2 linked regions of the Lonchura striata genome follow. The protein of the gene in region 2 binds, or shares a complex with, the protein of the main gene of each other region. Links are inferred from orthologs where the notes say so. Each region holds a gene or a part of one and is shown on either strand. Other genes may lie near its edges. The genes, in order: SMC2 and NCAPD2.

Region 1 (16,027 bases), on a different chromosome or scaffold from region 2:
TACACGGGGTTTTTTCTGCAGAGCAATGATCCTGCCTAGGAACAATATTGAAACACTAATTTCACTATACCGTTTTTTATTATATTTAAGCCTAATTTTGGAAGGAGGACAAATTTTCTGTCTACTATTTATCTTTTCTCTCCTGAAAATGATTTTGCTTCATTACATCCACTTCAATGCTAGGAGAGTTTGCTGTAGGTCATAAAGCAAAGAACCCCAAACCAAACAGAAAACAGAGGTGCATACTTGATTAAATGGATCCACAAACTGATTTCCAGGTTAACAAATCAAGACGATTTTGTATGTTTAGATACAAAATCATAAGAAGTCATAAGGACTACACTGCTTAAGCATATTAAATAACTCCAAAGGATAAACAGCAGTGATAAAACACTTATGAGTTCCAGCTAAATCTTACTGGACTAAGTATGTCATAGCCACAGTTTCAATTCCAAGAACAGTAACCTGCTCTTGTAAACTGTAATACTACTTTGTTTTCAATGTCAGTAGATTTGTATAATACATTTATTTTGATGGTTGTATCTTAGTTAACCAGGAGTTATGTGATTTTAAAAAAATTTTGTAATGAACTACATTTGATTAGTTAAAAAAAAGTCTGACTGAGATTTTAGCTGATTTTGATTTAGATTTGTGTTGGCTGAATGCCAGAAGAAGACCCTGAGAAATTACGTCACTGCAACTGCAGAAAGGAACTCCATGAACCCATACCTCTTAGACAATCTAATCAATAAAGAACAAAATTTAATAAAGAATTATTCAATGGTTATCAATTAACTAGAGATTAATTAGAAGTCACAGAAAAAGAAAGATAAGGAGTCAAAAGGTCTGTACATCCCAGAAAACTTGACTAGTACAGGTGCAGATGCAGTAAGGGACCTATTTCATAGTTGAGAATACTCCAGAAAACTTAATCAATAGGAATTGTCCAACCAGGACAGTAAGTTTAATAAAGCACTGTTTAGCTGGATAAAACTTGGGTTATCCATAAAAAAAAAAAAAAAGAGATTAAATGTTCTGGAAGTACTTAAAAGAAACAAACCATATATATTTTGATGCAATAAGTAAGGCAGATTTTTCAGAGTGTCAATAAAAAATCTTGAATATTATAGTGTATATAAATGCCTGAAAATTGTTGGTTTTTTGAACAGGTCTCTGCAAATAAATTCCAAATATGTTCCAAATTTTGACTCAAAATTGTTATTAGGAACATTCCTCTAACAGCTTTTTGATAGTAGATTTAAAACTCTTTGTTTCACTTCTGTGTGTTTTCTGTATAAAGTGTTTCATAGACCATTATAATCATTACAGTAAAGAGACTGCTATGATAACTTGAGAAGGAACAGCACAGAGAGTGATAAGAAGACACCTTTAAAAATAAAGTGATGCACTTCTGCTTGATTTTCTTACAAAAGAACCATCAAAGCCTTTGCTGAAATTTATGTCCAAGACAGCATTTATTCTTGATGTCATTGATGTCCTTCAAACCCTCCTTGCCTGTGGTCTAGCCCATCAAGTTATCAAATAATAAAGACTATCAAGGAAAGAGGTAATGAATTGGGAAGTCTTGGCTTTTTGCACTAACAATGTATGTAACAAAGCAAAGATCCCACCTGTATTCACTGCTGCAAACTGCAGCAGGGCTGAAAGTGAAAACAAAGCACCTTCACACAGGTAATCATAGCTCAGTCCCCAAAATCAGCATGAGTAAGGATGTTCACAATTCAGGGGAAAATGGAAAAGAAGGAGGAAGAGGTGAAAACTGGAATACCATAATACATACTAGCAACGAGAAAAGAAGAGAACAGACAAGTCTGAGAAAACTGAAATAGTTTCAATACACTGAAGACCTAACGGTGATAGCTGAAATCTGGGAACCATCACATTAAAGCAGAAAAGCAGTAAAGCTTTCAAGACAACATGAGTCAAATTAGAAAAGTTTACTTTTCTTAAATAACCTTAGTTGTTATTCCTGAGTGGTGTGGTATAATTTCCTAGCCTGGACTTGCCCAAATCTAACCTTGAGGACAAAATCCTTTTTGAAACCTGTCAATTACATTAGTTAAATTCAAATTTTGGGTTCGTTTAACAACTCTTCTTCCTGGCAACCACAGTTTGCAGATATGATTGTGGCACTTTTATCTCCATTCTGAAGCAGTTACACCTATGCTCACACCCACATTGGAAGAAAAGGGTATGATTAAAAGTTGAGTAAAGTGTATCTCAGACAATTAATTTGTAGATTGGTTCTAAGGAGAAATTCACCCATCACCACAACAGCAAAGTTTTGCTGGCAATCATAATCTTTTTTTTTTTTTTCCCCAGATCTAATTTATTAGTCTTCTGCAGCATTTCAAAGCAAAGTGGTAGCATAAGAGACAAATACCTTAAAAAACCCCCAAAACAAACAAACTAAAACAAGCAAACAAACAACAAAAAAAACCAACCCACAAAAAACCTCCCAAACTAACATAAAAGGACTTCTTGGCATAGATACTGCCAAGGGAGTAGTAATCCAGAGGCTACCTCAGGACATCCCATACACATACAAGGATTACCAATTACCTGGGAGTGAATATGGACTCAACTCCTACATTCCTACTCGCTTTAGCAAAAAATTACTTGTTCTTCCCCTCTGGCTTAGTTCTTACAATGCCTTTTCAACGGTACTTTTTTTTTTCCCGTGGTAAGAAACAAGTAAAAGCAAACTACTCCCATGCTACTTTTGTCAGAGACCATACCGCAAATATCTATGCAAGCATGACACTGCATTTTGAAACAATAAAGCTGCAACTACACTTACTTATGCAATACTATCTAATCTTGGAAGAAGGTCAGAGACTGAAGGTGACTAGTTTTCACTCTGCTAAATGTGCCACCCTGTACTTTGTTATCAGGTCACAATTCCATCAGAGGTTCAAAGGAGCAAGTTCACACAATGAAGTGAAAAGGGAAGTTAACACCATCAATATCATCAATATCATCAAATAGGTCAGCTGCATTCACTCTCAGAAACTGGGCATAAAGTAAGACCTTATCACTGTCTACAACTATCTGAAAGGAGGCTGTAGCCAGGTGGGGCCTGTCTCCAAGGAACAGGATGAGAGGAAATGAGCTTACACTGAACCAAGGAAGATTTAGTATAGATGCTATGAAAATATTCTTCACAGAAAGGGCTGTAAAGCATTGGAACATGCTGCCCAAGGAACGAGTGGAATCACCATACCTGGAAGTGTTCAAAAAACATCTGGATATGGTACTTGAGACCATGTCTACTACATGGACAAACTACATTCATTTACTGGTGAACATGGTGATGCTAGGTTGGACTTGATGATCTAAAAGGTATTTTTTCCAATTTTAGCAGTTCTGTGGGGCACAGCAGTTGATGTGGGCTGACAAAAAAAGCTGAAGTTTCTTAAAGGGCCTGCTGTGCTTTCCTAGTCACTGCATGGCACCCTAAATTTCCTTTTAGGCACTTTTATTACTTCTGCCTTACTTAAATGTTGAAACATATGTTGTAGCATCAGTAAATGCAAAATTTTACCAAAACTGTAGAGACACCCCATGTAGCCCAGTTTCACTTCTTAGATTTGCAACAACAGGCCAGTACTGCCCCACAGAGAGAAATGTTTAATCTGCTTGATTTTACAACTGCCAAAGAAAGCTTTGGGTTCTTAAAAGCATAGATTTCTACAAATGTTAAACACCCCCTTGCAGTGTACAGATCTCTTGCAACATCATGACTAAGTGAACTCAGAAGGGAAGTGACAAAATTCGAGCTGATGCTTTCAATTTCTGTAATATAACAAGGGTAGCTTCATCACTGAACAAGTTCCTGCTTGAAACATGCACAACCAACTTCTCCCTCAAGACAGAAACCCGCTGCTCCGGCCTGCTTAGCATATACATACATCTGATCTGGTATCTGTTACCTTTTATCTTATAATATTTAAAAGACAGATAAATTAAAAATTAAAGGGACATGAGGAAAAAAAGAAGATGAAATGAACAGGTTTTATGCCTTTATTAGTGTTCAACTCTTTATTAAAAAGTCAGCTCGGCAGGGGGGGTGTTTGTAGCTTCTTCCGGTAGCTGAAGGGCGAGAAGGCGTACAGAGTCTGTCCCTGGAGTCTCCGTGGCACACTGGTAGCCAGAGGTGAAGAGGTGTCCAGTCTGTATCTGAAGTCCCGATCAGCAGAGCGTCCTCTCTCTTTTTCTCCTGGCACACTGGTAGCCGAAGGGTGGGGGGATGTGCAGAGCCTGCTGCTGAGATCCCGCAGCAGCTATCCCTCTCCTTCCCTCCTGGTAACACCAGGTAGAGTGTCTGATTCCTTGTGCCTGCTTCCCACAGCCCAGTCCAATCTGATCCTCTGCAGGTTATAGTGACAGGTTAAACATAGACTAGGGATGGGGTCCCTTTTCCCCAACCAACACACCCATCCAGCCCCCTCCACTGTGCCCCTCTTTTTCATTTTGGGGTGTTTTTCATCCCCAAAACCCCCTCCCATGATTCCACTGGCTTATTTTGCATCCTAGTCCTAGTTTGGGTGGGGGTGTAGGTGATTCCCAGGGGCGATTAGCTAATTAACATTTCAATGTCAGTACTTAGGTCGAGCCAAGTGTCCCAGCCAGGCTGTTTTGTTCATAACAGAAGAGGTATGTCAACAAGAGTCCAAGGAAACAAATTTTAAGAGTGGAAGTACAGATCAGATTGTACACAGACATGCGAAGCTGTATTACTTTTGAAAGATAAAGATTTCACAATCTCTTCAGGCAACCTGTTCTAATATCTGACCTTGACATGGCTTGGCAGGGGGAAATCTCAGGACTCTCCATGCGCCACTGGAAAATACTGTTTAGCAAACAACATTTATCATCTCTTACCATGCATTCCCCTCAGATGAGGTGGGTTCCATTCTCTTAAAACTGTCTTGCTAAGCAGCTAAAGAAGGCAGCAGAAACAATAGCTTTTGTTTCTGGAAACTGAACAAAGCCATTTCTCTCTTGATTTTCCTTCATCATCTTGGTGACCCTACTCTGGATTTGTTCATGTGTGTCAGTGACTTTCTTCTACTAGGGAACTGAGAACACTGGATGCAGTTGGATCCAAGTTCAGGGTAGTGGGGAAAAGATTCTGCTCTTCCAGGTCATGACTGTCTACATCTTTCATAAAGATATCAAAAATTATGGCTAATAGTGGGCTGCCAACTGGACTTTGTCCTCTGTTGGACATCCTCCAATTTAGGGACAAGTTTAACTCACCAGTTTGTCTCTGAGGTAGGGCTAGATGAACACTCAGATTTACAGAACATAGGAAATATCTCAGTCAGAATTCACAGTCATCATTCATTTGATCAGTATCATTCATTTGATCAGTGTTGATCACTGGCAAGAGGCAGATCTGTCAGGTGTCATATGTCACTGAAAGATAGCTTCTTTATCATGACACTGGGACTCCTAGGATGGCATTTTTCACAGATGCAATCCCACCACTAGACCTTCACTTACAGCAGGAAACACTTTGCTACTCCAGTCCTGTTGAAGGGTGTGGGAAGAGAGGTGGTTTGCCATTGAAGACAGGCAAAAAATTTGTTGAGTACCTCAGTTTTCTCATTCACTGCTACCTGTTTGCCAGCCTTGCATTTCCCACAGTGGTATGTGTGTGTACACTTTCTTTGACTTCTTCTGTCAAAGTAACATACCTGTAGAAACCCTTGTTGTTATTCTTAGCATTCCTTGTCAAGTTCAGCTCCAGATGCCCCCTGGCCTTCCTCAGCCCATCCCTACATAATCAGACTCCCTGTATTCTTCCCAGATATCTGTGTCTGCTTCCACTGCCTCCGCATGTCCCTCTTGCCTTTTTGTTTGACTCACTCATGCTGATTTCTTGCCTTCCTTACCCAATTTCTTGTGACTGGGCATCACTAGCTCTTGTGTTCTATGGAAGGTGTCCTGAAAAATATGTCACCTCTTGTAAAAAAGGCAGTTTTGCACAGGATTCTACTGACTAGCACATTGAACAGCTGGAATTTTGCTTCCCTGAAGTTCGATAAAGTTCTTATAACAATAATAAAACCATTCCTAGATAGCCAGCTGCTAAAAATATATTTTCCTTGCTCAAACCATGTGTTATATTCGCTCCAAGGTGCTAACTGCATGTTAAATATCTACAACCGGATTTATATTCCTTAAAATGAAGCACTCAAATTTAAGCCTTGTGACATCAAAGCTATTACAGATCTACTTAAGAACTTATTTCTTAATACTTAAGAAATTATTTTTCTTTCCCACATCATATGTAAATGGGGACAAACATGGCTGTCTTCCTATGATGAAGCCTCTCACATCAGAATTGGTTCTGCTTTATTACTATTTCCTTATTTCAGGCTGTGGTTAATCTGGATGGAAAAGGAGCAGGCGGAGCAGGTACAGTACTAGGTCCCCAGCTGCCAGCTCCATCAACCACACATTGAGAAGGACTTTGGCCATTTGAAGAACAACCAGGTGCCACCTTCAGTGTAGTCCAAGCAGCCACCTCTAACAGAAACAAACCAGGAACTTTCCTGCAGGCAAGAAACACTCCAGTATGTTTGCCACAGAAGGTAAATTCAAAAATAATTTGGGAGCATTTTCAGTTTGCTAAATAAAGAGTGGGCTGCATAGTTACACAGTATCAATCTGACTCTTGTCCAAATTAAAAATAGTTTTTCCCAATATAGGTTCCAGATGTAAGCAAGTGAACTGCAGATAAGGGACCATCAAGTACTTCTGGCTACAGTAGCTCCAGCAGCAGTGCTGTCACGCTAATGCCTTAAACAGCTGCATCCAATATAATTCGTGCAGCAAGCAAATGCACTATATTTTTCTTCCCTAATGCAATGTAGACCTTCAGTCTGAATTATTTCGAATTACTGAAATAACATCAAACTCAGTAGTCCAGGGCACAAAGTTTTACAGCAGACCTCAACAGTAACGCTGTGCAGCTGCAAAGTCCTGGTCTACCTACACAGCACGACAAAAGCAAGCTCAGAAACGAGTAAATGCATCCAGCCGACTTTGCCTTCCTGCTTTGAGCAGCGCAGCAATGGACAGACAGCTACCTTTCTTCCAATGACACGTACTCACGTTTTGAACAAGCTCTCCTTATTCTGCTCGAATGGAAGCATGTCTGTATAAATTACAATAATAGATTTGAACAGGCATAAATAGCGCTTGGGTTTTTTTTTTTTATTCTTTGGGGAGGAGGGAGTGGGTTAGGGGTGGCATAGTAGGAATGCGTGTAGGAAGTATAGAACAGCACTTCTTTGATTTTGATGTAATTTCAGGGAGGACAAAGCCACTTCCCGCCGCAGCCCGGAGCTAACGCTCAAGCTCCTCAGCCGCGCTGCAGAACTCACCACGAACTTACCAAGCGCCTTCCCGCCCACCCCCATCTCCCTCACGGGCGCCCGGCCGTCCTCCCCGCCATGGGCCGCCACCCGCCACTTTCCGCCCCCGTCAGAGCCGGAGGAGCCCTTTCCTAGCCGCGCCCGCCTTTCTGCGCCCGGTGCGCGCCGTCCCTCCCGGCCAGGCGCCCCCGGCACCGGCCAGGCGCCCCCGGCACCGGCCAGGCGCCCCCGGCACCGGCCAGGCGCCCCCGGCACCGGCCAGGCGCCCCCGCTGCGCCCGCTCCGCCGGGGTGGGGCGGGCCGGCCGCGCTGAGGGCGCGGCGTGGCCGCCATCAGGCGCCGCCCCTAACGGTCGCAGCGGTCGGCGCCAAAATTTGATCGTGGCGGGCGGCGCGGAGCGGGTGCGGAGGAGCGAGTGAGGCGCTGGCATCGAGGGACAGCCCTGCACGGGGGTGAGCGGGCGAGGGGCCGGGAAGGGAAGCAGGCCTCGCACGGCCGATGCGGCGCCAGAGGCGGCAGGGAGGGCTCGCTGGAGCAGGGCCGCGGGCGGCAGCGGTGGGGATGGGGCTCTGCTGGGTCCTCGCTCGGAGCCCGGGCTGCCGCTTCCCGGGATTCGTCCCTCGCGGGCGGTGAGGCTGGACAGGTACGGCAATTCCGCAAGCGGGAGAGGGAGACCGCGCCGTGTCGCTTTGCGACAAACCGTGGCTTTGCCGCGAGTCTATAGCCGAGTGTTCTGATAAACTGTGCGTAAAGTCCCTTAGAAATGCCGAAGTGCAGTTGGGATACTGCCTGGATCTGTGGTTTACTTGGCTTTTTTAGTTTATAAATGTATTATACTTTTGTTGTAAAAGGCATGCGTTCTTTCATTTCCTCGGGTCTAGTTGTTTGTTTGGCAGTATCATTCATTTGATTATTTTTTTTCTTTGATGTGTATAGGATTATACTCCGGATACCTTTCTCAGTGCTCAGAGGAATACTTGGCCTGGAATACCTTTTGGGAGCATTGGGAAGATGTACATTAAGTCAATTGTTCTTGAAGGTTTTAAATCCTATGCTCAGAGGACGGAAATTAGTAACTTTGACCCGCTATTCAATGCCATTACTGGCTTGAATGGTAGTGGCAAATCCAATATCTTGGACTCCATCTGTTTTGTGCTGGGAATCAGCAATCTGTCACAGGTAAAGAGATAGGACATTTAAGAAAAGTCTTTCTTCTGTTAGCAACTTTTAACGTTACTCTAGTGAGTAACCTCCCACGGAAGACCTGACATGGTGTGTCTTTGAAAGAAATATTTTCATTATTTCGATATTTCATTGCATTAATCTGGGTCTCTATCATTGTTGCTCAGCCTTATGTTGAGTTACAACTTCATCCACGTACCACAGTTACACAAGTATGTGGCTTAAAACAATATAGACTAAAAATAACCACTTAAAAGCTAACAGCTTCAAGCTAAAGGTCCTTTTTGCATCTACAGGCACTAATTTACTAATTTGTAATAAATGTTTTCAGTTCTGGATTAAGTCTTAAAATCTGGCTACCTGGTTCATCAGAAAAAGATTTAAAAGTGATTTTCATACAATGCTTATTATTTAAGTGATAATATATCTGCTTTATTTTTACTAAAATATATGTGCTTTGACATCAGTTTCAATCTCTGTCTGAAGATGATTTTTAAATTTGCTTTCTTTCCCATCCCTACCTTCCCCCAGCTGTTGACAAAGCAGGCAGCCCTCTAAGGAACATTTTCTGAATCATTTTCCTGTGAACTGCATTGTGAAAAATAAGTGTTTGTTAAATAAATTTACTGTCAGCTGGCTTTTTTTACAGATGTATTCAGTGTTTTTCAGGAGCCTCATGCAGAAACAGTTATCTGGATAAGTAAAACTAGACTGGCACACACTGTAGTTTCACAATGATAGCACCTTGCAGCTCCCGTGTGCCAGTTCACATGAACTCAAATATGCAGCTAGATCTTTGGTTTTTATATTGATTTCTCCAAGACCTACAGTATTACAATTAAAATGTTAATTTCTTTCAAAAAAGTATTTATCTGTTCCCTGAACTTAGGTGCGAGCTTGCAACTTCCATGATCTAATTTATAAGAGTGGGCAAGCTGGAATTACAAAAGCAACTGTGTCTATTAACTTTGATAATTCAAACAAAAGTCAAAGTCCACTGGGATTTGAAGCTAATGATGAGATCACTGTGACTAGGCAGGTAAGCCTTTAATATCTGTATTTTTTCATAACCTATTTACATTTTTACCATGCTCATGAGTGGGCAGGGAAAAAGGGGGTGATTTTCTGAGTTTCTGCAGTAGAGGCAAGGTTTCTATGTTGCTTTTATAGTGTAGTTAGTTAGAAAAACTGTACCAGTGTACGAGCTAGAAATGTTCATAAAGCAAGTTAAAATTTTCTACCTTGCGGCTTTTACTGCTTTCATATCTTTCTTCTTAATATCTGAACTCTGTGTTAAATTTGGCCTCCAATAGCGAAGGAACCTTTATTTTTCTGGTGAAGATGTTGGGTTTTGGGTTTTGATTACTTTTTGATTATTTTTTTTTAACGTAGAGTTTTTGGAAGGTTTCTTGACAGTATTTTCCTCAATGACTAATCTTATATTTTAGTTAAATATTTTCGATGTCAAACAAGTTCTGTTTTGATGTTCTGCACAGTTTGTACATACATACATATGCAAAAATATAACAAGTGTGATTTGCTCAGATTTTTTTGTTCTTTATTGCAGTTTATATTCTCACAACACCAAGCAGTTTTTTTGTCTTTGTTCTCTAGGTTGCTGTAGGAGGTAGAAGTAAGTATCTTATCAATGGTGTGAATGCTGCCAACAGTCGTGTGCAGGATTTATTCTGTTCCATTGGACTGAATGTCAATAATCCTCATTTCCTCATTATGCAGGTATTGTGTGCATCTTTATAAAATCCAGAAAGAGTAGGACTTGTACTAAATTTAAGATGGGGAGATAGTAGGAAAATAATTAATTCCTAATTAGAGTGTCATTTTACCAAGAAAAAATGAAGTCTGTTAAGTCATTAATATTTCCAGTACAGCATAGTTTGACCCTAAAACACATCTTGTAGCACAAGACCTCATGCGGCCCTCATGTTAGCAAAACTTTTCCGAAATATATTCCCATTTTATTTTTTTTTCTTCTTAACAGCTAGGTATTGCTTTTATAAATATTATAAAATGGTGGGTTTTATTTGCTATTATTTGTGCTCCCATGTTAGACAGCACCTTGAATGAGGTTGAGATATGTACCTTCTTAAGTCAAAATTATCAAAAGAAAGTTGACAAATTGGGAGGACTGTAAGGGACTAGGCAAATCCCTGAAATATTTGCAAGGAATAATAAAACAGAGGATTTATTGATTCAAAGGTAACTGTTCCAAGTGGATGCCAAAGTGAGGAACAGTTTTGTACATACTCTCTTTCTACCTGTTATGTATGAGCTACATGACCAATAAAGCTGGTTTATGATTAGGAGCTTATTCAACATCAGAAACCCAGTAAGACTCTAGGAAAAATATTTGAATTACTCCTTTAAGATGTAGTAAGAACTGTGGAAGATTAGCCTAAGATACATTGTAAAGGGCCACTTCAAATATATTACCTGAAAGAGTGACTTATTTGAACTTTGAAGAGCAAAACAACTGAGTAAACTAGATTATTCTTGTAGCAAAAAAAAAAAAAAAAACCAAACTTAAAAGTGCTTGAACTTATATACAATGTGTAAAAGTGAATGGAGGTTTGGGGTTTTGGTTTTTCTTTTTACTACTTCATGATACACAACCACTGATCTTGATTTATGTTTCTGTTACCAGGGAAAAATTACCAAAGTTTTAAATATGAAGCCACCAGAGGTAGGAAAGTTGTGGGAGTGTTTTTGTCTAAAGTTATTGAACTGATTTGAATAACAAGAATAAACATGTTGGGAGGGGGACAACAAAAATAAAAATTGGGGAGAGATGAGACATTCAGCTTAATTGAACCAATCTAACATAAGACGAAACATCAAAGTTTTTTGCATTGCTTTATTTTAGATTTTAGCTATGATTGAAGAAGCAGCTGGAACTAGGATGTACGAGTGCAAGAAAATAACTGTCCAGAAAACCATAGAGAAGAAGGAATTCAAACTGAAAAACATTCAAATGGTACTATGTGTTGTAAAGTAGACTTTCATTCATGTTTGTTAAAGATAACTGATCAGCTAGTTCAATGTTGACTTTGTACAGCATTCTAGAATATTTCGTTCCTGCATCTGGAACTAGATATCCATGCCTATACATGTTTAAATTTTAGAGTTCAGTAAAATCAAAATATAAATCTTCTGCTATGTGTTTCAGGTCTTAAATGAGGAGATCGGTCCAACTTTGCAGAAACTGAAAGAGGTATGGAAAAATTAGATTCAAATACTGAAAAAATACTTTCACAACTACCCTGAACCAGTAAGTTTTAGCTAAAACAATAGCATGTTTTCAAGTACTGCAGAGTCTTGTAAGGGAAAGAATTTTGTTATTTTTCCAAGTACACAGAATGTGACATTTTGGACTTCCAGGAAATCCTAGAGAGAGATATAGAGAGAAGGAAGAAAACAACAGAACTAGATAAAAATAGATTTTAAAATGTCTTAGTTTTAAAAAATAAGTCAAGTGGTATTTCTGGTGTGCAGTCTATTATATGAATATTATTTTAGCTGAGAATAACATGAAGAATCCATCCTCTTACTTACAAATACTGATGTTTAGGAGTACTTACAAGATTTCTCTAGTAGCCTTATGTAACTCTGTTTTTTCATCAAAATTTAAATTTAGTGCCTTTTTTTGTTTGTTTGTTTGTTTTGTCCAGAAACGAGCATTATATCTAGAATACCAAAAAGTAGTACGAGAAATAGAACATTTAAGCCGTTTTTGTGTAGCTTATCAGTTTGTTCTGGCTGAAGAAACAAAGATATCCTCCACTGGTATGCTAAAGGAAATGCAAGCTAATGTAGAGAAGTTTAAGGAATCAAGAGCTGAAATTGAACAGAAGGTAAAACAGCTTAATGAACACATAGCAGAGATGGAAAAGAAAAAGGATAAGGTAAATGAAAAAATGAAAATAAACATTGTACTCCTCTGAATACCTGCATACAAAGAATTTTAAGATACTGGAATTATTTCTAAAGATAGTATACCGTTGAATTTTTGTCTTCTGGTGTGTAGCTTAGGTTATGCATTGTTCATTGTCGGTTTTATCTAGAAGATATCAATTTAAAGTTTTTTTTTTGTCTGAAATGTAAATGAAAAATAACTGAAACATAAAAACTGTTTGACTTCATGTTTTTACTCTATGCATTCAATGGTAAGTTTTGCCAGAGGCTTTTTTCTCCCTTTTTGTTGATGTCTCAAAAGAAAAGTAAGGAAAGTTTTGTTTGGCAGTAATCAGTATTGACTTTGATTTTGGGGGCAGTAAATTTCATGACATACAGGATGGCCCATAGAGGCTTTAGTGTTTAAATCCACCTTCTGTACAAGGACAGTGTCCCATCTTATGGAGTGGTGTGGGTCTTCAATAATAGTTCTAGTTAAGTTGTATTTCAGAGGTGGGAGATGATCTGACCTGTTTGTATTGAACACTACTGCCTGCTTGGTCAGATTTCCTTCTACAAAAAGCTCTGAACAGAAGGCAAAGTATTACAAATACTGCATTGGTGTCACAGGCTAAATTAAATTTCCTTTATTACTGGTTGTAGGAAGTTGGTGGTAAACTCCAAGAACTAGAAGCTGCTCTTTCAGCAAATCAAAGAGTTAATGCAAAAGCACAAAGTGCTCTTGATCTCAAGAAGCAAAACTTAAAAGGTGAAGAGGTTAAGTATAAGGAATTGGTAGCACGTATGCAGAAGGTAAGATATTTATATATAATTTTCTTTACATACTAAATTAATTCCGATTGTGGGAACAGCTGTTTTTTTCTTTCCTGTTGTGGTATAAAGAATCCTGTGATTGGCAAGAATTACATTTAGAAGCAGAGACAAATATTAAGGGCATTGTTTAATTTTTTCAACATAAGTAGTAGGTTCTCTTTAGAAAAATATGTGATGCAAATACAAATAAAGTGCAGCTCCTTGTGGTTCCACATTTTTTCTTAAGCTCAGCAGAGGTCTCTGTAGCTTCAAACTACTATGCTTTCTGGATATTTGTTACTCTTAATGTTAAATGAGAAATCTCTGCCTTGCATATTTTTGACAATCAATGTTTCGTTATGCAGGAGGATCATTTTTTAGGTATTGGGAAGAGCGAGATAATTCTAGGTCTTTGGCAGTTGCTACCACTTTCTGTGTTTCATCTCTCTGTAGATATTCAGTACACTCATGGGGCGAGTAACACATTTGAAAACATGCAAAGACATATTGCTAGATCACAAAATCTGACAAAGGGTCATAGAAATTTAGATGATAAAAACTACTTGTTGCTCCTCAGCTAAAGAACTTGAATTTCAAAGTAATAGACTCAGGTTCTCTCTTTTTTTTTTTTTTCTGTTTTGCTGAAGGATTCTAAAGCATTAATGTCAAAGGAGAAAGAGGTAAAGAATCTAGAGAAAGAACTAAATGTTTTACTGGAAGAAAGTGAAAAAGATGCACATGCTCTAGTTGCAGCACAACAGCATTTTAATGCTGTATCTGCTGGCCTGTCCAACAATAAGGATGGTGAAGAAGCTACTCTTTCAGGACAGATGATGATCTGCAAAAATGAAATTAGCCAAGCAGCAATAGAGGCTAAACAGGTAAGAAAAAAAACTCTGCATGTCTCAGACCTGCCTTCATGCTTTTGGAAATTGTCTGAAAACCAATTGACAGATGCTTGAAAGATCAATGAAAAGAGGTGCAGAATATTTATGCAAGATATTTTACATTTTAGCATATGCATTAAACTAACTTTTTGATAAAATATAACTGAAATATCCTTGCACAGGAAAATGCTGTAGCATTGCTGCAAGGAAGTATTAGAAACTGACATTTGAGATATAAAGTAGGATTCACTGTACTCAAATGATCAATAGTATTGAATAGGAAAAAATGAGGATTGTTGTTTATGGTGGACAATCAAAGAGATTTTGGCAGTTAAACTTAATGGAATCAAAATAAAGATGCATGTCATTTTGAAATAGAGAGTTTAGAAGAAACTATTTTCTCCTTAGTTAAATTGTATGTTCATCACATGACTGAAAGAGATGATGCTTGTTTTGTCTTAGGCTAGAAGACCTCTGCTGGGGTAGTTCTGATAGCAGAGTTTAAATTTCAAAAGTTCACTTTCTTTGTCTCACTTAGAGAGAAATTCTTCATAGAGTAATAAGGACAGCTATATCCCACCTTAAATTACTTTGTTTCCTCTCAGAGTTTATTCATGTTCTAATATGTTACCATAGTTAAATACAAGACCTATGGTTTTGGTTCTAAATAACCTTTGCCATTATTTTCAAAAGCTAAGGCTGTTTTTTTGTCATATCTGCAACCAGTGGAAAATTGCATAAATTAGATAGGCAGCTTGATAGAGCAAGTGTTTTAAATTTGCATCTGCGAGTTTGTCTTTGAAGATCTGGTTCCAAATTTGCTTACTCATTATAGGCACAAATGAAATTGAATTATGCACAAAAAGAATTAAAGGCAAAAGAAGCTGAAGTTAAAAAGATGGATGAAGGCTACAAGAAAGACCGAAACACATTTGAAGCTGTTGAAAAAATGAAAATAACCCTAGAGAAGCAAATAAAGGAGCTGGAATATTCAGGTCTGTACAGACTTCTGCATAATTTTGAGGCAATCTGCAAAGGAGTATGGAAGTGTCATGAGTTGACCCTGATTTCATGCCAGGTGTTTGCCAAAAGGTGTTCTATCACACCACTTCTTAACTAGACAGAGGAGATGATATACTGCAAAAGCTCATATGTTGAGATAAGGACAGGGAGAGCTCACTTGACAATTACTGTCATGGGCAAAATAGATTTGACTTGGGGAAATCAATTTAACTTAATTTCCCAGGCTCTATTTTGTTTCTCATTTTCTGTACCTCCTCTCCATGAGTGGTGCAGAGGGATAGGGAGTGGAGGCTGCAGTCAGTTCCTTACACGTTGTCTCTCCCACTCCTTCCTACTCATACTCGCAACCTTCCCCTGCTCCACCATAGGGTTTTTCTCCAAGGGAGGCAGTCCTTATTGAACTTCTTGAGTGTGAATCCTTCTCATGGCCTGCAGTGTTTCACAAACTGCTCCAGCACAGGTCCCTCTCAAGGAGTGCAGTCCCTCAGAAGCAGGCTACTCCAGTGTGGGTCCCCTTGGGGGTCACACATCCTGCCAGAAAACCTGCTCCAGCATGGGCTTATCTGTCCGTGCAGTTTCTGACAGGACTCTGCTCCAGTGTTGGTTTCCACAGGCTACAGGTGGATACACTGTACACCATGGTCCATGTTGCTACATCAGCATAGTTTTCACCACAGGCTGCAGGAGAATCTCAGTTCCAGTGCTTGGAGCACTTCCTCCCTGTCCTTCACTGGCCTTGGTGTCTGCAGGACTGTTCCTCTCGCATATTGTCACTACTTTCCAGCCACTGCAGATAGGTTTGGC
Region 2 (16,440 bases):
ATAATCTTTATTAAATTTTTAATTTATGGCAAATTTCATTTTAAAAAACAGTACAAAGGCTTTTGGAAAAGAAGCCTCTGAGGAAAGTACATAAAAATAAAGTGTCATGTCCTCTGCAGAAATAATTTAGTGGGTCTGTGCACATTATGAGGCTGTTCATATTTGAAACCAGGGGAGCATGTAAGGGTGCTCTGAGTAAGTGTTGCACTCTATCTCAGTCCAAAAATAGGTCAAGTATTATCAGGAGTGTAGAGGCTCAGGTATCCAACAGACATGGCTGAGCTGCCTATTTGTAAAACCTGTATCTTTATCTGTTACATCTTTCAGAGCAATCATTTGTTTAGAGGTCAGAACAAACATAAAACCTCCCCCTTATTACCCTCTTCACCAAGTTAAGGCTTCCAACCCCAGTGGATGCATCAGAGCAGGGACCTCTGTCACTTCCCAAGGAAGCCGGGTTCATTAAAAAAGTGTTGATGCTGCATTCCAGCTCTGAAGAAAAATCTGTCTTCCCCACCATCATTTGGTTGCTCTCCAGCTGAGACAACAAACCCCACCACTGATGAGAGCCTGCACCTGGCCTTGACCAGCGCAGAGACACCTCAGGAAAGGCCAGAGCAATGCCTCAGGCATCTAGAGATATGAAGGTTTAGGGTCTATCCATTTTGGAGCAGTACAGTTGAGGCTTTTCCACCACATCTGAAGATGTCAGGATGAAGCAGTTGATATGGGAGCTGCATTTTGCACAGAATGGTTTGGGTTGGAAGAGACCTTAAATGATGATTTTAGCTCCAACTCCCTCCCACAGAGAGGGACACCTTCCACTAGCCCAGGTTGCTCAAAGGCCCAGCCAACCCAGCTCTGGGTATCTCCAGAGATGGAGCATCCACAGCTTCTCTGGGCAATCTGTTCCCATCCAAAGGCAAGTTAAGCATGTTCCGTGTTTAAAGGCAGAGTTTGAATTTTTAATTAGACATATAAAGAACTATTCTCCCAAAGCCTTGGCCTTGCTTTTGGAGAACATTTAAAACCCTGTTTTGTCTGGAATAAGAGACTAGAGGAGCAGCAGAAACGCTGATGTACATAAGGATGGCACCCCAGAAGAGCTTTCAGTAGAACATGATATTTTCAGAGGATTTATAGCTAGACATGCAAGTCTTTGCAAACAGCCACAACATGACTCATTAACTGGGCTCAACCCTGGGGCAACTTTCAGCACTAAGTTCAGCCCCAGCTCTGTGTTCCAGGGCAGCTGCCAGCTTTGGAAAACGAGCATTCAATCCCCAGCTTTGGCTGGGGACTTGGACACTGCATTATCAACAGTCCAAAAATGCATCTGTCCTGTGAAATCATCTTCCCTATGCCCCTCCATGAGCGAGGCTGAGAACTGACAGGAACACAACACAAAACTTGGCAGGAATTGTAGCATAACTCGTTCGTTCAGGTTGTGCAGGCCTGAACTGTGTGGAATTTTAGACTGTACATGCTGCTGTAATCCACCAGCCAGTCCAGACACCCTCCTTTCCCAGAAGGGCTTCCATCTCTGAAGAATTAGTCTGCTGCCTTGCTCCAAATTCACCATTGAGAGTTGTTCTGGTGTGTTCACTGTTCTGGTGTGATTTTGGTGATGTTTAAGACTGGACACTGATTGATCATAAGGGAACCAGAAGCCACAGGGAAGAACCTAGCTTTTGTAGCAGTAAGGCTACAAGTATCTAATTTTAAAAGAAGTCTGCACTGGACAAAGCTCTGTCATTTCCTTTTAATGAGTTTCAAATGTACAGTGAAGCAAAACAAAGGGGCACTTACCTTTATTCCAGTCATGCTCCAAGATACAGCATCCTACTCTTGGAGGTCTTCATTTGTGTTCTGAACTTACATTCCAACACCAATGGAGAATTGTTCCCTGGGTTTCAGGATCTGAGGTTATTGAAATCTAAAAGCAGCACAGCCTGAGAGCCAGAGCTGCCACTAACACACAGAAGGCAGTCCCCTGAACAGGATAGTGGCTGGACATTTGGTGGCTGACAGGAGACTTGCTTGGGCAGCCTCTTTCCCCAGAGCTGCTGGTTCTCACATTTTGTTACAGACTTACCAGAGTCAGTCCAGCACAGCTGGAACCACCATCATTTTACAATGGGAAAACAGCCACTGCTTTGAGGGACAGAAATTCAGGTATGTGCATGCTATGGAATTCACCAAAAAAAAAAAAAAAAATCCAGCAGTTTGGCATCCCAACCCCTTCCCACTCACTGACAGACCAGACAGACTCAGTAAGGTGGTAAATTGTGTTTCTTAGAGACCATTAAAAGTACATGAGCTGATTTCTAGAACATGCCAGAGGAGATTACAGTTGTGTTTATAGAGGAAATAAATAAACTGCACGTGCACGAGTGGCTGTGATGCTGTGGGCAGCAGAGTCCCTTGCTTTTACTAAGAGGGCCTTGGTGATTTGTTTTGCCCATGCACAGAGACACAAAGGAGGGGAAAGGGAGCAGAGGAGGAGGCAACATACAACATCCAAGAGAAAGAAATGAAAGAGACAGCCTAGGGGGACCTCAGCTCCCAGAAAGACAGGAGGAATGGGGCACCAAAGGCTTGTTTAGAAGAGTTCAAGAGAATTGCTGGTCTGGGGGCCTCAAGCTTGTAAAAGCCTACCCCCTAAAATGAGAGCAGTAGGTGGCACAAGCAGGCCCTGGCTCCTCTTCAGTAGATGCACTTCTGACCGTCCATCCCATCTCAGTTCCACAGGGAATTAGGGAAGTGCTCAGGGGACGAGGGATGCTTCACTCCAGATCTTCATCTCTGCCCTCCCCAAGGTGGAGAGGAATGGAATTGCAGGGAGATGAACTCAAATGAAAATGCTGGGGCATGGAAGTGAGCATGCAAAACCTAGCCCCTTGCCAGGGGCCCTGGGAGGCAGAAAGGGGCTTCCCCCAGCACATCCAGTGATACAAGAAGCATCTGCTCCTCCCATCTTTTGTACTTTGCTCCTATCTGGGAACTCCAGTGATGTCCTCCCTGCCTCCCCTTAGGCCTAAACAAATCCCAGAGCATTCTGGAACAGAGGCAGAGCTTTCTAAACTAATGGAGTACCCTCTTTCCAGTCTAGATTACAGGCCACAGCTCAACTTGTTATAAAAAGTTGAAAGACAAGATACACATTCCTCGGAAGACTCTACAGAAACAGGGCAGCTCATTTAACCCACGTCTGACAACCCATTCAAACAACTCACAGCTCTTGTTACTTTTGATGGTGAAGAACAAGGGAATCACTCACAGAAAGCCACAGCCACAAGTTTACTTCCATCAGAGACCACCCTGGACCTAAATTCAAGAGAACCCAGAGCAAGTAGGAGGATTCAGTTTGATCAGCAAGATCTCTAGAGGCATTAAGTTGCCAATATGGGACATCTGATGTCACTTTGCAATATCCTTGCCCAGTCCACCATTTCCCTTTAAATCCCCATCTAACCATTTCAAATGTTTTCTAGCTCCTGCTGAAAGTTAGGGTTTTGTGGCAGCAGACACAGAGCAGATAGCTGTATCAGAATCTGATATAATCAGATTCTGATCTAATCAGAAAGCTGGGCAGGTCATTCAGTCTCATCTACAATACCTCCAGCCCCCTTCAGCTCTATCTGCTATGGCAGTGAGTTTCCTCAATGTTCAACACTGTCACACAAGAGCAAAACACCAATTCCCATCCTGCCACTTCTCCAAAGTCTTCTTTCTGGAAAGCTACAAGACAATAGGAAGCTACAGGGTCCTGGCTTGTGTGTGCATAGATGAAAGGCATATTTGACACTCCCCACCAGACTAATTGTTGTTCACTTGTTCCTTGTGGAGAGACACTTTACTCCCACACATGCCTTTTTGATAATAGCAATGCCCCTTTCACTTAACTGTGTTTAGCCTGTTGCACTTGACTGAGGTAATCATGTAGGGCCTCCTTTATAAAAACTGAAATGGCCATGTTCAGGCAGCAAGTCACCTGGAAATAAGGACAGGCAGAATCAATCATTTCTTTGAGTGCTCACCTCTCCATGGCTAGAGAAACCTACATCACTACGTGTAGCTTAAATGGCTCACAGCCACTGGCCAACACAAACTAGCTTTTATTTCAGAAGCTCAGTGAAAAGCTCAAGTCATGCTACCACTCTTTTTAGGCAGAACACTAAAGGCTCTCACACGCTGAAGTCCTTCATCCCACAAGGCACTGTGTTAAGGCATTCTTATTTTGCTAGAGTTCACACAGGCACTATTTGACAAGCTTACACCCAAAAATAAACACAAAAAGTTCTCTGCAGAAGAGCAGGAGCAAATGGCTACCCACTCTTCCTCAGCTTCCCTTTCCTCTAAACTTAGAGGACGCTCCCTAAAGCTGCAGCAGCTATTGAAAACTCTACCTATGTTTAGTAAGCAGCTCAGAGCCCTGTACAGAAGATAAATTAAAACCAATAAGGAAATCAATGAAGAAGCTAGGTGAAAGGAAAGGAAAAATTCAGAGGCAAGAAGAGACAGGCATGGTAATAGAGGACAGGAGGTCGCAGACTGAAGGAGCTATATTTAAGTAAAAAAGTAGACTGGAGACAAAGCAATAGGAAAAAGGAAAGAACAAAAGGGCAAGTTACACCAATGGTCCCTCAGAGAGCTCCAAACCACCCACCAAGAAAGGAACTTGCCAACCCACCCACTCCAGGGTAAATGCCCCTCATACTTACAGGTTTATCTGACCTGGCAGGCAGAATTTCCCATTCCTACAATGATGGCATTCCCCATTCCTCATATTACTAGGTAAAGCATACCATTTCCACACTAAGTGAGGGATTTCCAGCACTTCTACCTCCCTTTCCCAAAGACTGGAGTTGACACTTATGCAACTAAGACCCTCAAGATCTCAAAACAAAAAGGAAAAGTTTAAAGTACTCTAGAGCTGGTGTTTCCTCACCTTTGAGTCTGAGGTTTTTGGTACTTACTTGCAATCACCACCACCACAAGGGCACCAATCACTCCCATCATGATCATCATCTGAAGAAAAAGATTGTCCAAGAGCAATACTCAGAACAGATTAAAAAAAATAGACATTAAATAAAGCTCCCATCCTTCCTGACAGCCAGGGAACCTATGCCAAGTTCCAAAGGCATGGCAGCCAAAGCCTCAAGGCCTTCCCATAGTGAAAGAATCTTAAGCATTTGAAATTGTTAGTAAGCTCCAGCTTATACTTGAAAGCTCTGCAGGAGAGGAGTAGCCCAGTTCCCTCCTGCCAAGAAGATTAGGGCACTAGGAAACTCACCTTGCAGTTCTTCCACCAGTACTTCCTTTTGAGTTTGGCTGCGCTGCTTTCAAACACTGAGGCACCGGCCTGAAGTGCATCTGCCCGGTCATCCAGCTCTGACAGCTTCTCGTCTCGCTGCAGCACCTTGTCTACATTTACACACATTATATCAACCACCTGCAGAAGGAACAATAGTGGGAGCAGCTGTATTGGCAAAGACAGCTGAAACCCTAAGAGGAAAAAACTTAGCCAATAACTGATGTTGCAATACTAACGAACAAAAAACATGAACAAGGGGGAGGGGAAGATCAGGGTAGAGAAAGAAGTCATTTCAAGTCAGTGCCTACTTTAAAATGGGAAAAAAAAAATCCGAGAGTCACTGTTAAAACATGAGTTCCAGTACACTTCAGTCAGGTCCTCAGCTTCACATTCTCATCTGCTTTTAAGAGCTCTCCATTCCAGCAGCAAGCCAAAGCCACCCTGCTTATGAGAGGAGTCGTGCGCTCGCTCACCCCCCGAGAGCTGCAAAATTGCTTTATGCGCTTCGTGCTGCTGCCCCGGCGAGGCACAAAGGCGCTACTGCGCGGCAGCAGCCAACCACCGGCTTTGATCCCGGGAAGCCAGGCAGGGATTCCCCCTCATCACTGCACACAGCGTTCCCTCGGAGCAGCCCGCAGGGACTAAGAGCTGTCCTGGATGCTGTACAGCTTTACTCCCATAAGAGATGCGCGATAACGATGTACCAAAAGAATCTAGCAAGCCTGGTCCTTGGTAGTCATATCTGGCATTGAGAGGCTTTTAAACGTAAAGCATTCTCTCCTCCAGCTTCTTTAATAGGTTTGCCACTATTTTTGAGTAGAGAGCATTAATTAAGTTCTGGCTTTGGCATGACAAAAGAGCCACCCCCTCAGTGAGAGACACCGGTTAAGAACATCGCTGCTGCAGAGCAGTGGGAGAGCGCCCAGGCACCATCAGGGCTGGCAGAGCTACTGACCTCCTGCACTTGGGCCTGTGTCTGCTGCAGGCGGCGATTGCTGGTCAGATTGGGGGGAGCCCCGGGGGGACCCCCGCCGGGGGCTGCCCCCTCGGGAGCGCCTCCCTCGGGAGCCCCTCCCTCGGGAGCCCCGGGAGCAGGCTGCTGAGCTGGGTCAGACCTACGGGAACACACACATCAGCCAAGAGAAAACTCAGCCGCTCGAGAACGCCCCCAGACCCACACGAACCCCAGTGTCCCCAGGCTGCAGCAGCGCTGGCAGCAGCGTCGGGAGCTGCAGCCTCGCTGGATCCCACAGGATCGGGAGCAGGCGGGCTCGTGGGAGAGCCCAAAGCAGGGGCAAGCCCAAGGGGGCAGCGGGAACGGAACAAGCATCCCGTCAAAGGGGCTTGCGGGTGCGGTCGCGCCAAGCGCTGTGGCCTCCCAGGGGGAACAGCGAGCTGGCCGCATGGATGTGACCAGGATACGGGGCAGGAAGGTGAGGGAAGAGGGACGGGGAGACAGAGCGGGGACATCCCGGGGGGACCGCGCAGCCACCTGGCTGGGCGCAGCGGTAGCCGCCGGCCAGGTTTGCTCCCGCTGGGGCTCCGCACATCACCACTGGGGCACGGCCCACGCACCCACTCACCACGCAGTCAGCGGGGGAGCAGGACCGCCCGGGGGCGGTGCGGGCAGCCCTCCCTGCGGCTGCTGCAATGCGCCACCCGACCCCACCGCCGCCGGCCAGGACGCGGGCTCTGCACTGACCCCCGTCCCCACGCTGCAGCCACCACCCCCACGCTGCAGCCACCACCCCCGCGCCGCGCCCACCGCAGCTCGCTGCCGGCCGGGCGGACACTCACATGGCCGGGCCGGGCAGGACCTGGGCACGCCGCGAACGGAGCTCCGCACCGACAGCCCCCCGCGCCCCCGGACCCCGCACTTATACAGGCGGGCCCCGCCCACGGGGCCAGCAGCCAATCAAAAGTTGCTCGGCACCTCCCCGGGTTCTTCCTCAGCCAATCAGCGCCGCGCGCTACGGAAACGGCCGTAATGTTAGCCCCGCCCCCAGACCGCCGCGGGACAGGCCCCGCCCCGCCGCGGAGCTGCCCAATGGGAGCAGCGCCCCGCGCCCGGCCCCGCCCCTGCGGCGGCCCCGCGGTGCCCGGGGCGCCGGGGGCTCGCGCGGCTCCGCTCCCGACCCACGGCCCGCCGCGGCACTGCCGGCCCCGAGCGCCTCCGCCGCGCTCCGGGCAGGTCACGCAGGGCCCGGTCGTGGTTACCTGCCCCGTTCAGGTTTCCTTTTGGAGCCTCCCGAAATCCCATCTCCGCAGTGTGTCTGTTGGCTCCGGTTAAGCCGCTGCCCTTGCAATTAAGAGATGGTGTCGCTGGCCCACTTCCAGCATACAGCGCGTCATGAAAGCGAAGCTGAACAAGTCCCAGTCAAGCTTCTGCAGCCTACTGGGAGAAATGAGGCTCCCGCAGCAGCCCTAAGAACAATATGGGGTTTTTCTGTCTAAATATCTGGAGAAGCCTGCTGGATCAGAAGGGGAGATTTTCCAACTCAGGACAAGAAAGGGGACAGGAGTGTCCCAGAACAAGAAGACTCTTCATACAGAATTTTACGTGGTGAGTAGAGAGTGACAAGTGTAGGCTCACATTTACACTACCTTTTCCTTCCTTAAGGCGATGCAGGATTGTCACCTAAGATTTTAGTGTCAGATATCACAGATTATCAGGTAGACAAAACCAGGTATGTTGCAGATTACAGCAGGGTAACTAGAAGATCGTGGTTGCAAGGTGAAGAATAATGCAGCATTGTGACTAGAGACAGGTGATTTGCAGATAGGAGCAGACTAGCACTGACCTCACAACTCCAGGTTTTTACACTCTGCCTGCAGACAGAAGGGGCAAGTTGAGGAAGAAGCTTCTGTAGCCTGGCAGCCTTTCCACTGCAGTCTGAGGACCATTCCAATAACCACTGCAAATAAGTTTGAGCTTATGGAATTAGTGTCCTCAGAGCTTTTGCCAGGTTGGTGCTTAGGGATTAAGAGATGAAAAATGGTACAAGATACTTTCTCTTGATACTTTTCCAGTTTCCAACATTATTTTTGGGCAAGGACTTGCTATACCTGCTCAGTCTCCACTTGGATCTGTGCAAGTTTCTTGAATTCACACCACCTTTTGACAGATCTGTCACCCTGCTACTGAGAATGTGGACTTGAGCTGTTTAAACAGAGAGTTTGCCTTCACTTTCCTCAGTCTTATGCCTAAAGAAAATCCTTTCCATTCATTCCTAGCTGCTTCCAACCAAATGCTTTTGGAGACAGAGCAGCATTGCTCTGCAGCAAGATACATCAAGTAAGAAGATAACTCCCTGATTACTTAGCAGCTAAATTAACAACTAAGGCAGAATTTGTATGCAAATGCCTGTTCATGTAATGGATTTTCCCTACGTGTACAGTTGTGTGATGTTGCACTACAGGGATGCCAGCTGTGACTCACTGTAACTTCTCCTCTAAAGGAACTGGCAACAGTTACAGAAAACTAGAGATTTAAAAAACATTTAAATACCTGATTTACTTTTGCAAATCCTGCCTAAATTATAAACAAAAAACTATTTGGTCATTAAATGTTATTAGCAGGGCCTAAGGTCATCATGAGTGTGGAATGAGACAAATCCCATTCTTAAGACAAGTTTTGATGCATTTTAACTAACATTTGGATCATTCACACTTAACCACACACGAGTGGAGGGCAAGGGGGAAAGCCATGAGCAGGAAGACACATTAGCAGGACTTCATGGTACTAATTTGAAAAATTTGGCTATGAGGAAAAATCTGAGTTGAAGAATACTGGAATTGTCATTGTAGATGTGTGAAGCTGGAGCTCAGAGACTGAAAGGATGCCAGAAGCCTGGCCTAAAAAACAGAGGAGCAGAGGGTCAAGTTCAGGGATGCAGGCTGGAATAGATGCCCGCAAGAAGTACGTCAGAAATGACTGAGGGGGCACAGAGGAGCTCAGGCCTGGAGAAGCAGCAGGCCCTTGGGACCTGGGTAGAAATAGGCAGCAAAGGTTGTAGAAAGCACTGGGAATTCAACTGTGTGGAAGCTGGCTTTATTCTAACTGCAATGCCACAAAATTCCACTCCACAGGCTGAAGCCACTTCTGTTCCCTAGCGGTGCTTTCCAGTGCGATTGAAGCGCTTGTACAGGTACCGGATCCTCTTGCTGAGTTTGTGATAGTCCTCTGCAAACATGCGGTCGCCCACCATCCGCTTCTTGCGGATGCACCTCTGCAGCTCGTTCCCCCGCCAGCCGCGCAGCCAAGTGGGCCCCATGATGAGACTCTTCGGGTGGATCTGGAAGCCGCCTGAGAACAGGAGAGACAGATGAAGCCAGGCACTGGAGAAGGCTGTTCCAGGGCGGCCGGCCCAAATCCTCCCTGCCCTATGGCTGCCGGCAGAGGCGAGTCCAGCCTCCCTCCCCTCCTGCCCCGGGGCGGTGCGTGTCTTACCCAGGATCCCCACGTTGTCATACACCCCGAACAAAGCCCGTTTCTTCGTCCACCGATCCACCGGCTTGCGCTTGGGCGGCTCCTTGATGCGGATGGGCCGGGAGAGCCCCGCCAGGGGCGAGGACAGCGGCACGGGGAGGCCGGGCCGCGCGGGCGCCCAGCGCGCCCCGCCGCAGTCGCTAAAGCCCCGCTGGGCGCACGGCAGGGGAGCGGCACGGCCCAGCAGGGCCCGGCCCGCCGCTCGCAGCAGCAGCGTTGCCGCCGCCGCCATGGGGATGACCCCGGAGCCCCGGGGACGGGACGGGAGCAGCGGCCGGGCCGCCCCTTCCGCCGCGGAGCGCCGGGGCGCGCGCGTGACGTCACGCCAACGGTCGGGAGGGCAGGGGAGCCGGCGATTGGGCGAGGGGCCGGCGCGCGGCGCAGCCGGCGGGCGCTGATAGGCCCGTGGCGGGAAGGGGCGGGGCTGGCGCGGTTCGCGCGCGCTGTTTCGAGCGCCCGGGGCCGTGCGGGGCTGTGGCGGCCATGGCGGCCATGGCGGCGGCCCCGGAGTTCTGCCTGCCCCTCGCTCCCGCCGATCTGCTGCGGGATGGCGGCCCCGGGCGCTACGTGGTGCGGGAGGTGCTGTCCGCCCGCGAGCTGCCGCCCGCACTCGCCGGTAAGGTGTCCCCACATCCCCTTCCCGGTCCGGCCCGGCCCTGCCGCCGGCTCACGGCCATCCCCCCGCCTCTCTCCGTGTTTTGCCGCAGCTTTCCGGGCCGCCTTCCGTGCGCAGGGCGCGCTGGCCGTGCTGCAGCACTTCGACTGCGTGTACAGCGTGCTGCAGTGAGTACGGGCACGGACGGGGCGGCGGGCGGGCGCTCGGCCCTCTGCCAGGCGCGCCTTGCCCGCCGCCTCACGCCCCGTGTTTGTCCCGCAGCCACTTCGGAACCGTGGGCACGGCTGTCAAGGAGGATGCCCTGGAGCTGATGATGCACGGTGGGTACCCGCTGTTTCCGGCCGACGCAGGACTAACGGAGAGGTTGTTCTCCCTTGGCGGCTCAATGATGATATAAAGGCTAATGTGACTCGGCCAGCTGGGCTGCACCCTCAGCCCACTCCTGTCATACGGGTCTGTAATCTTGGTGGACGATGCTGAGTTGTGCACGTTCGCTGTAAGGGCAGACCGACATTAAATCCTCTTGCCTGTGTCCCTGGAAAATAGGTCTGTGGGACCTATCAGCTCAGAGCGAGTGTTTCTCCGAGCTGACGGAGGGCTGTGGGGACAGGACAAGACAGCACGCCCAAGGACTGGGTTGCAGGGGGCAGCCCGTGTTACAGCTGGTGAGATGTGAGCACACATCTTTGGTAATCTGATGGCTGCTCCGAACCTCCCAAAGAGAGAATTGCTGAGGGACCTGGCAAGGAGTGCTCATGACTTTCTGCTTCTCCTCAGTGGTGTCCCATCATTCCAGTGATCTTCCTGCCATCCTGAGCGACTCTGGGCTGAGCCAGGCAGACCGTGCTGCTCACCTCAATGCTCTTAAGATGAACTGCTATTTGCTGACTGGCCTGATGGATGCTTTTGAAATGGAAACCTGCAAGAACAGTTGTATGGAGGCAGATCCTGGTAGGAAGGTAGGTCAAGAGACTGGGGGAAAGGTGATAAAAGTCAGAATAAAATTTTAAGCTTGCTGAACTCTGTAGTATCTGTCAGATTTATAGCTGAGTTTATATAAGCATGATGCCAGCAAGAGCATGTGGAGCACTGGTGCTTCTCTGAAACTGCATGAAAAACAGCCAAAGGACAATCATGTGTCTAAATATCAGCAGGGATTTGGATGCCCTGGCCTTTCTATTTCATTCTTCATTTTCTGGTTTGAATGTAGTATGCCAGTATTTTCGTAAGATTTCCTTTCTGTAGTGGCAGCGGATGCACATATAATCCTTAAACCATGCAAGGCACTGGTGCTGGCCTGAGCTAAGAGAGAAAAACTGGTGAGGGGGAAACCCCCTGTGATCTCACAAATCTCATTGTGTGTCTCTTAATGCTATAATAGATTTCTTATATTTGGAAGGAAGCAGGGTAGTGACAGAGTTTTGTCTGTTGTGAAGCTGCTGATGTATCTCACTGCGTAATCTCCTTTCTAGAGCAGGAAGAACCATGCCAAGACTTCTGGATCCTTGTGGGAAGAGGAGAGGGAGCCACTTTTACAGCTGCTTACACAGCTGCTGCAGCTGGATCTCCGTCAGCTTTGGGGTGCTTTAACAGTGGAAGAAGAGTTTGTCAGGTATGAGTTGGAGCAGGTGTATTGCTGGAATGAGTAACTGGTTCTGAGGGATAAAAGGTTAAATGATAACTCTACCAATGAGATGGTATTACAGCCCTCTGTGGGGTGCAGATCACTGGGAGGCTGAGGAAATAGCTCAAGGCAAAAGCAACATGTATAGAAACCACTTTCTCTCCTCCTGTAGGCCACAAAAAATTCAGATGCTTCCTAATTTTTAGAGAGCATTAGAGAATCTCTCAAACAGAAATGTGTGGTGGGCTAGAATGATATTTATGCAAGCTGAGATAGTGAGGTTTGCTGTTTGTCTTCTGTGGGTTTAGCTTAATAACGGGAAGCTGCTACCGTATCCTGGAGAATCCAAGTATTGGCCTTCAGAGGTACCGGGTCACGCGGGAGGCTCTGACACATCTGCTTGCTGCAGCTCTGGTTCACTGTGACCACATGTTCAGTGAGTTCCTGCCCTTCTGCCTTCTTCCTGAAGACATTCCCAGTTACTTTCCCTGACCTCTTTCTTCCTTCTCACGTGTTAAAGGTGCCACTCTGAAGATCACGCAGATGCTACAGCACTTTGAACATGTAGCCCCAGTGTTTGCACAGGCGGTGAGCCTCTGGGCTAAAGAGTATGGTCTAAAAAGCCTGGTGGGTGAGCTGCTAAGGTGAGAGAAATACTTGGAGGCTTGTCCTTTTATCCCTAGCAACTTGAGGCACCCCATTCCTTGTTTCATCTTTCTGTACAGGGAAATTGGACAGAAATGTCCCCAGGATTTGGCTCGTGAGTCTTCTGGAGTCAAGGGTTATGCTACTTTTATAAGTGAACTGGCTGAACAGATTCCAGCTCTGGTGCTCTCCAACATGAGTGTTCTCCTGCCTCACTTGGATGGGGAGGTACATTTCTGCAAAGTTACCTGTCCAGAAAAGTCTAACAGTAGAGATGCTGCTATCCAGTTTTTCTGTCTGATACAGAACCTCTTCCACAGAGCTCAGGTATCCAATACCTGCTCTGTTGGATTAGATTTTGCCCTTACCTAAAAGATGCAAAGGGAACAGAAACCATGGCATCTCCTGTCTGGTTGTCACTATCAGATGTCAAGAGAACAGCAGACTGCCTACTCGTGTGATGTCCCTGCTGTTGTCCCTTGTTCTTCAGCACTTAATGAGTTTGTCATTGTGTTACCTTTTATCTGCTGTGTTTCTTGTGTCAGTTCTTGGCTTCTATGAGCCTACCTGGATAGGAGGATTTGGGTTGGAAGGGACCTTAACACCTCTGCCATGGTTAGGGACACTCTCCACTAGACCAGGTTGCTCAAAGCCCCATCCAACCTGGCCTTGAACAGTTCTAGGGATGGGGCATCCACAGCTTCTCAGGGCAACCTATTCAAGTGTCTCACCACAGTCTCAGTAAAGAATTTCTTCCTCATATCTAATCTAAACCTACCTTCACTTTGAGGCCATTCTTTCTTGCCCTATCACTGAATGCCCTGGTAAAAAGTCTCTCTCCTGCTCTCTCACAGCCCTCTTTAGGTCCTGGGAGGTGCCTCCCCCAGAGCCTTCTCTTTTCCAGGCTGCACAAGACCAACTCTCAGCCTGTCTTCATAGCAAAGGTTACTCTGTCTTGCATGCACAGCTATGTTCACCCAAACTTAATTCAATATCCATGCTGAAAAAATTCACTTAGGGCTGGAGCCTGGGATTTGGAAGGCCCACACTCTGGGCATATCAAATCATGTCTTTTGGTCTGCTCCTAGTTCAACAACTCCTGTCTTGGCAGAGTTACATGATGCGAAATGCCATTCTGGGAGCTATGGCAGAAGTGCTGGTGCAGGTGCTGAGTGGTGACCAGCTGGAGGAAGCTGCCCGTGGTACTCGGGACAAGTTTCTGGACATGCTGCAGGCCCACATGTGTGACGTGCACAGCTTTGTGCGCAGCCGCGTGCTGCAGCTCTTCACTCGCATCGTGCAGAGCAAGGCAAGTCTGTGCTGGGCAAATGGCGTCGCCTCAGTCATCTCTTCCCATCTTGTGTGTCTTGAGGGAATTTCTGCCACTCTGCTTTTTGTTTGCAGAGATTGAAGTTTTAACAGAGAAAGGTGCTGTCCCTCTATACTGTGGTGTCTGCAGTTTCTTCCAAGAGACCAAAGATCTCAGGGGTGGGAGAACTGGGGGTGAAAATTAGATACTGCTCATTCTTACCAGGACAAACTAGAAGAAAGAGCATAGCATACAGCCTCTTTTCACACACTGGTATGGGAGAACATCACAATTACCAGATATACTAAGACTCAGCTCAACAGGATCCTGGATAACCTAAATCCTTGCTTTCAGGGAAGTTTGGACCAGAATATATCAGGAGGTCTTTTGAGCCCTAGACTTTTCTGTAAATACATAATCTGTGCTTTTTAGTACATTAATATGTCTGCAGTAAACTCTTCCCAAGTGTCTGAGCCTTCTTGATAACTTTATCTGTGCTCTTGTTGTGTTCTAGGCCCTGCCTTTGACTCAGTTTCAGTCTGTGGTGTCGTTGGCTGTTGGGCGGCTCAAAGACAAATCTGTCTTAGTGGTTAAAAATGCAATCCAGCTCCTGGCTGCATTTTTGTCCAATAACCCCTTCTCCAGCAAGGTAAATCCAATTCATGTGGTGGATATGTTAGATGTCTCTTTGCAGGCTAAATATCTGCAGGGTGCTATAGCCAGGGCAGTAGCATTGCTATGTCTTGTGGGAGGAACGGTGTAGCCTTTGATACTGCAGGTGGCAGCTTTCTGGTCTTCCCAGGTTCAGATTTTGAGTTCTTTGACTCGCCCCTCTATTGGTGAAATTCATAGCTATGATGAAGGCCAGGAAGGATGTGATTGAGGTAAAAACCTGCAGCATTTTTGAGTCCACTGTGAGGTTTCTCTCCTTAGGATCAAGATTAGTTTTTTAGAATATTCTTCGTGGATCTGCAGCTCTTTGTGTTTAGCTGCACCTTCTCCTGAGTTTCTGAGCCTTAGTGAGCAACTTAGAGCAGTTCTCATTCTGGGACTGGGGCCAGAGTCTACTCTTCCAGTTTCCGTAAACAGGGTTATCCATGGAGATTGACAACTAAAGCAGGGAGTGGAAGAGATAGGAGAATTCTGGCATTTCAGGAAAATGAGGATAACTAACATATTTCTTTTTCTCTTCCTGACATCTTCAGCTAAGCTGGACTGACTTGGATGGGCCACTGAAGAAAGAAGTGCAGAAACTGAAAGAAATGAGGGATCGTAGCAGACCCTCAGCAGGTAATTTCCTTTCTTCTTCTTTCCACTTTCTGGGACAGTCCAGAATGTACTTTTCCTCATTAAATTTGCTCCCAGGTTGTGACAGGTTTTGTCTCACATCTTGAGTGAGATGGTGAGACCAGATAACTGGGATTAAACTCACAACAGTTTTCCTTATGGCGGTGTTGTAAAAGGATCATATTAATATCCATGTCTAAATCAACAGTCCTTACAGCTATATGTCCTATTTTCAGGCTAAGAACTGAAAATGTCAATGAACACCCTCCCAGGTTTCTCTTTTTTTCAAGGACTGCTTGAGTCATGATTTTGCTCAGATGTTATTTAAACTTGATTTGTAGGCAGTACCAAAGCCCAAGGTTAAAAAAATGACAGTTTTCTTACCTGTCTTTTTTTCTGCCTTCAGTGGTTTATTTGTTTTAGTCAGAGTTCTTATTCTCACTGCAGTCTGGGTGGGATCAGCAGTGGGAACACTACCTGCCTGGGGAGGAGGTAGGGGAAGTTCCTAAATTCCAGATGAGTTTTTCCTTCCCATTAAAGGTGTCACCTGAGTCTGTGTTCTTCAATACTTCTGTTTTATAAGTAGCTCCAGTGATCATCCCAGAGGAAGAGTGGGAAGCGATGCTGCCAGAAGTTAGGGCTGCCACACAGCAGCTCTTTCAGCCACTGGAGGAAGAGGAAGAGGAGGTGCTGGAAGTTGAAGAAACAGTGGAGAGGACAGTGGAGCAAATCACTGGTCTGTTGAAGAAGCTGAATTACAAGTAAGAAGGCTCTGCGGTGACAGTGTTTATCCCACAGGGTGATTTCCGGTAACATTACTCTGTAGGAAGAGATTGATGTGGGCAGACAGTACAAGATGCTGATAGGAGCTGCTTTCCCAGGTGTTCAGGGCAAAGTTGGATGGTTTCCCTTATGTTCTGCTCTGATGTGTTGCTGATACTCTCTTGGGCAATGTCATTGTCCAGGAGCGCAGCCTGTCTTACACAGAAGGCCCTGTGTCGCTTCCAGGGAAAGGAACCTTTCATTAGCCCTGGGGAGGAAAACGAGGAGGCAACAATCCTGGCTGTTCTGAAGAGACTTTACATAGGTAACTGTATCACTCTGTCTGTACCCCAAGTCCAAGATAATGCCAGAGCAGATTAAAGCCCTCTGG

What was found.
Region 1: NCAPD2 (region 2) and SMC2 share a complex: the UniProt entries of both Homo sapiens proteins name them as parts of the condensin complex. The link is inferred for Lonchura striata from reciprocal best matches to the Homo sapiens genes NCAPD2 and SMC2.

What each region holds. Positions count from the first base shown.
Region 1 is NC_134642.1:61,413,126-61,429,152, forward strand, and holds the start of SMC2 (structural maintenance of chromosomes protein 2), read left to right. Parts: upstream 1-7,758; 5' UTR 7,759-7,861; intron 7,862-8,345; 5' UTR 8,346-8,420; coding exon 8,421-8,588; intron 8,589-9,480; coding exon 9,481-9,630; intron 9,631-10,205; coding exon 10,206-10,328; intron 10,329-11,253; coding exon 11,254-11,292; intron 11,293-11,472; coding exon 11,473-11,583; intron 11,584-11,775; coding exon 11,776-11,820; intron 11,821-12,277; coding exon 12,278-12,511; intron 12,512-13,163; coding exon 13,164-13,313; intron 13,314-13,960; coding exon 13,961-14,194; intron 14,195-15,035; coding exon 15,036-15,195; intron 15,196-16,027. UniProt on the Homo sapiens protein: Central component of the condensin complex, a complex required for conversion of interphase chromatin into mitotic-like condense chromosomes.
Region 2 is NC_134604.1:29,374,683-29,391,122, forward strand, and holds the start of NCAPD2 (condensin complex subunit 1), read left to right. Parts: upstream 1-10,283; 5' UTR 10,284-10,289; coding exon 10,290-10,422; intron 10,423-10,513; coding exon 10,514-10,589; intron 10,590-10,683; coding exon 10,684-10,742; intron 10,743-10,802; exon of another isoform or gene 10,803-11,125; intron 11,126-11,199; coding exon 11,200-11,381; intron 11,382-11,894; coding exon 11,895-12,034; intron 12,035-12,354; coding exon 12,355-12,482; intron 12,483-12,566; coding exon 12,567-12,690; intron 12,691-12,771; coding exon 12,772-12,919; intron 12,920-13,802; coding exon 13,803-14,000; intron 14,001-14,514; coding exon 14,515-14,649; intron 14,650-15,205; coding exon 15,206-15,290; intron 15,291-15,870; coding exon 15,871-16,048; intron 16,049-16,252; coding exon 16,253-16,374; intron 16,375-16,440. Other genes in the region: VAMP1 (vesicle-associated membrane protein 1), read right to left, coding at 4,980-5,031, 5,297-5,455, 6,273-6,432, 7,115-7,116; MRPL51 (large ribosomal subunit protein mL51), read right to left, coding at 9,427-9,623, 9,768-10,038. UniProt on the Homo sapiens protein: Regulatory subunit of the condensin complex, a complex required for conversion of interphase chromatin into mitotic-like condense chromosomes.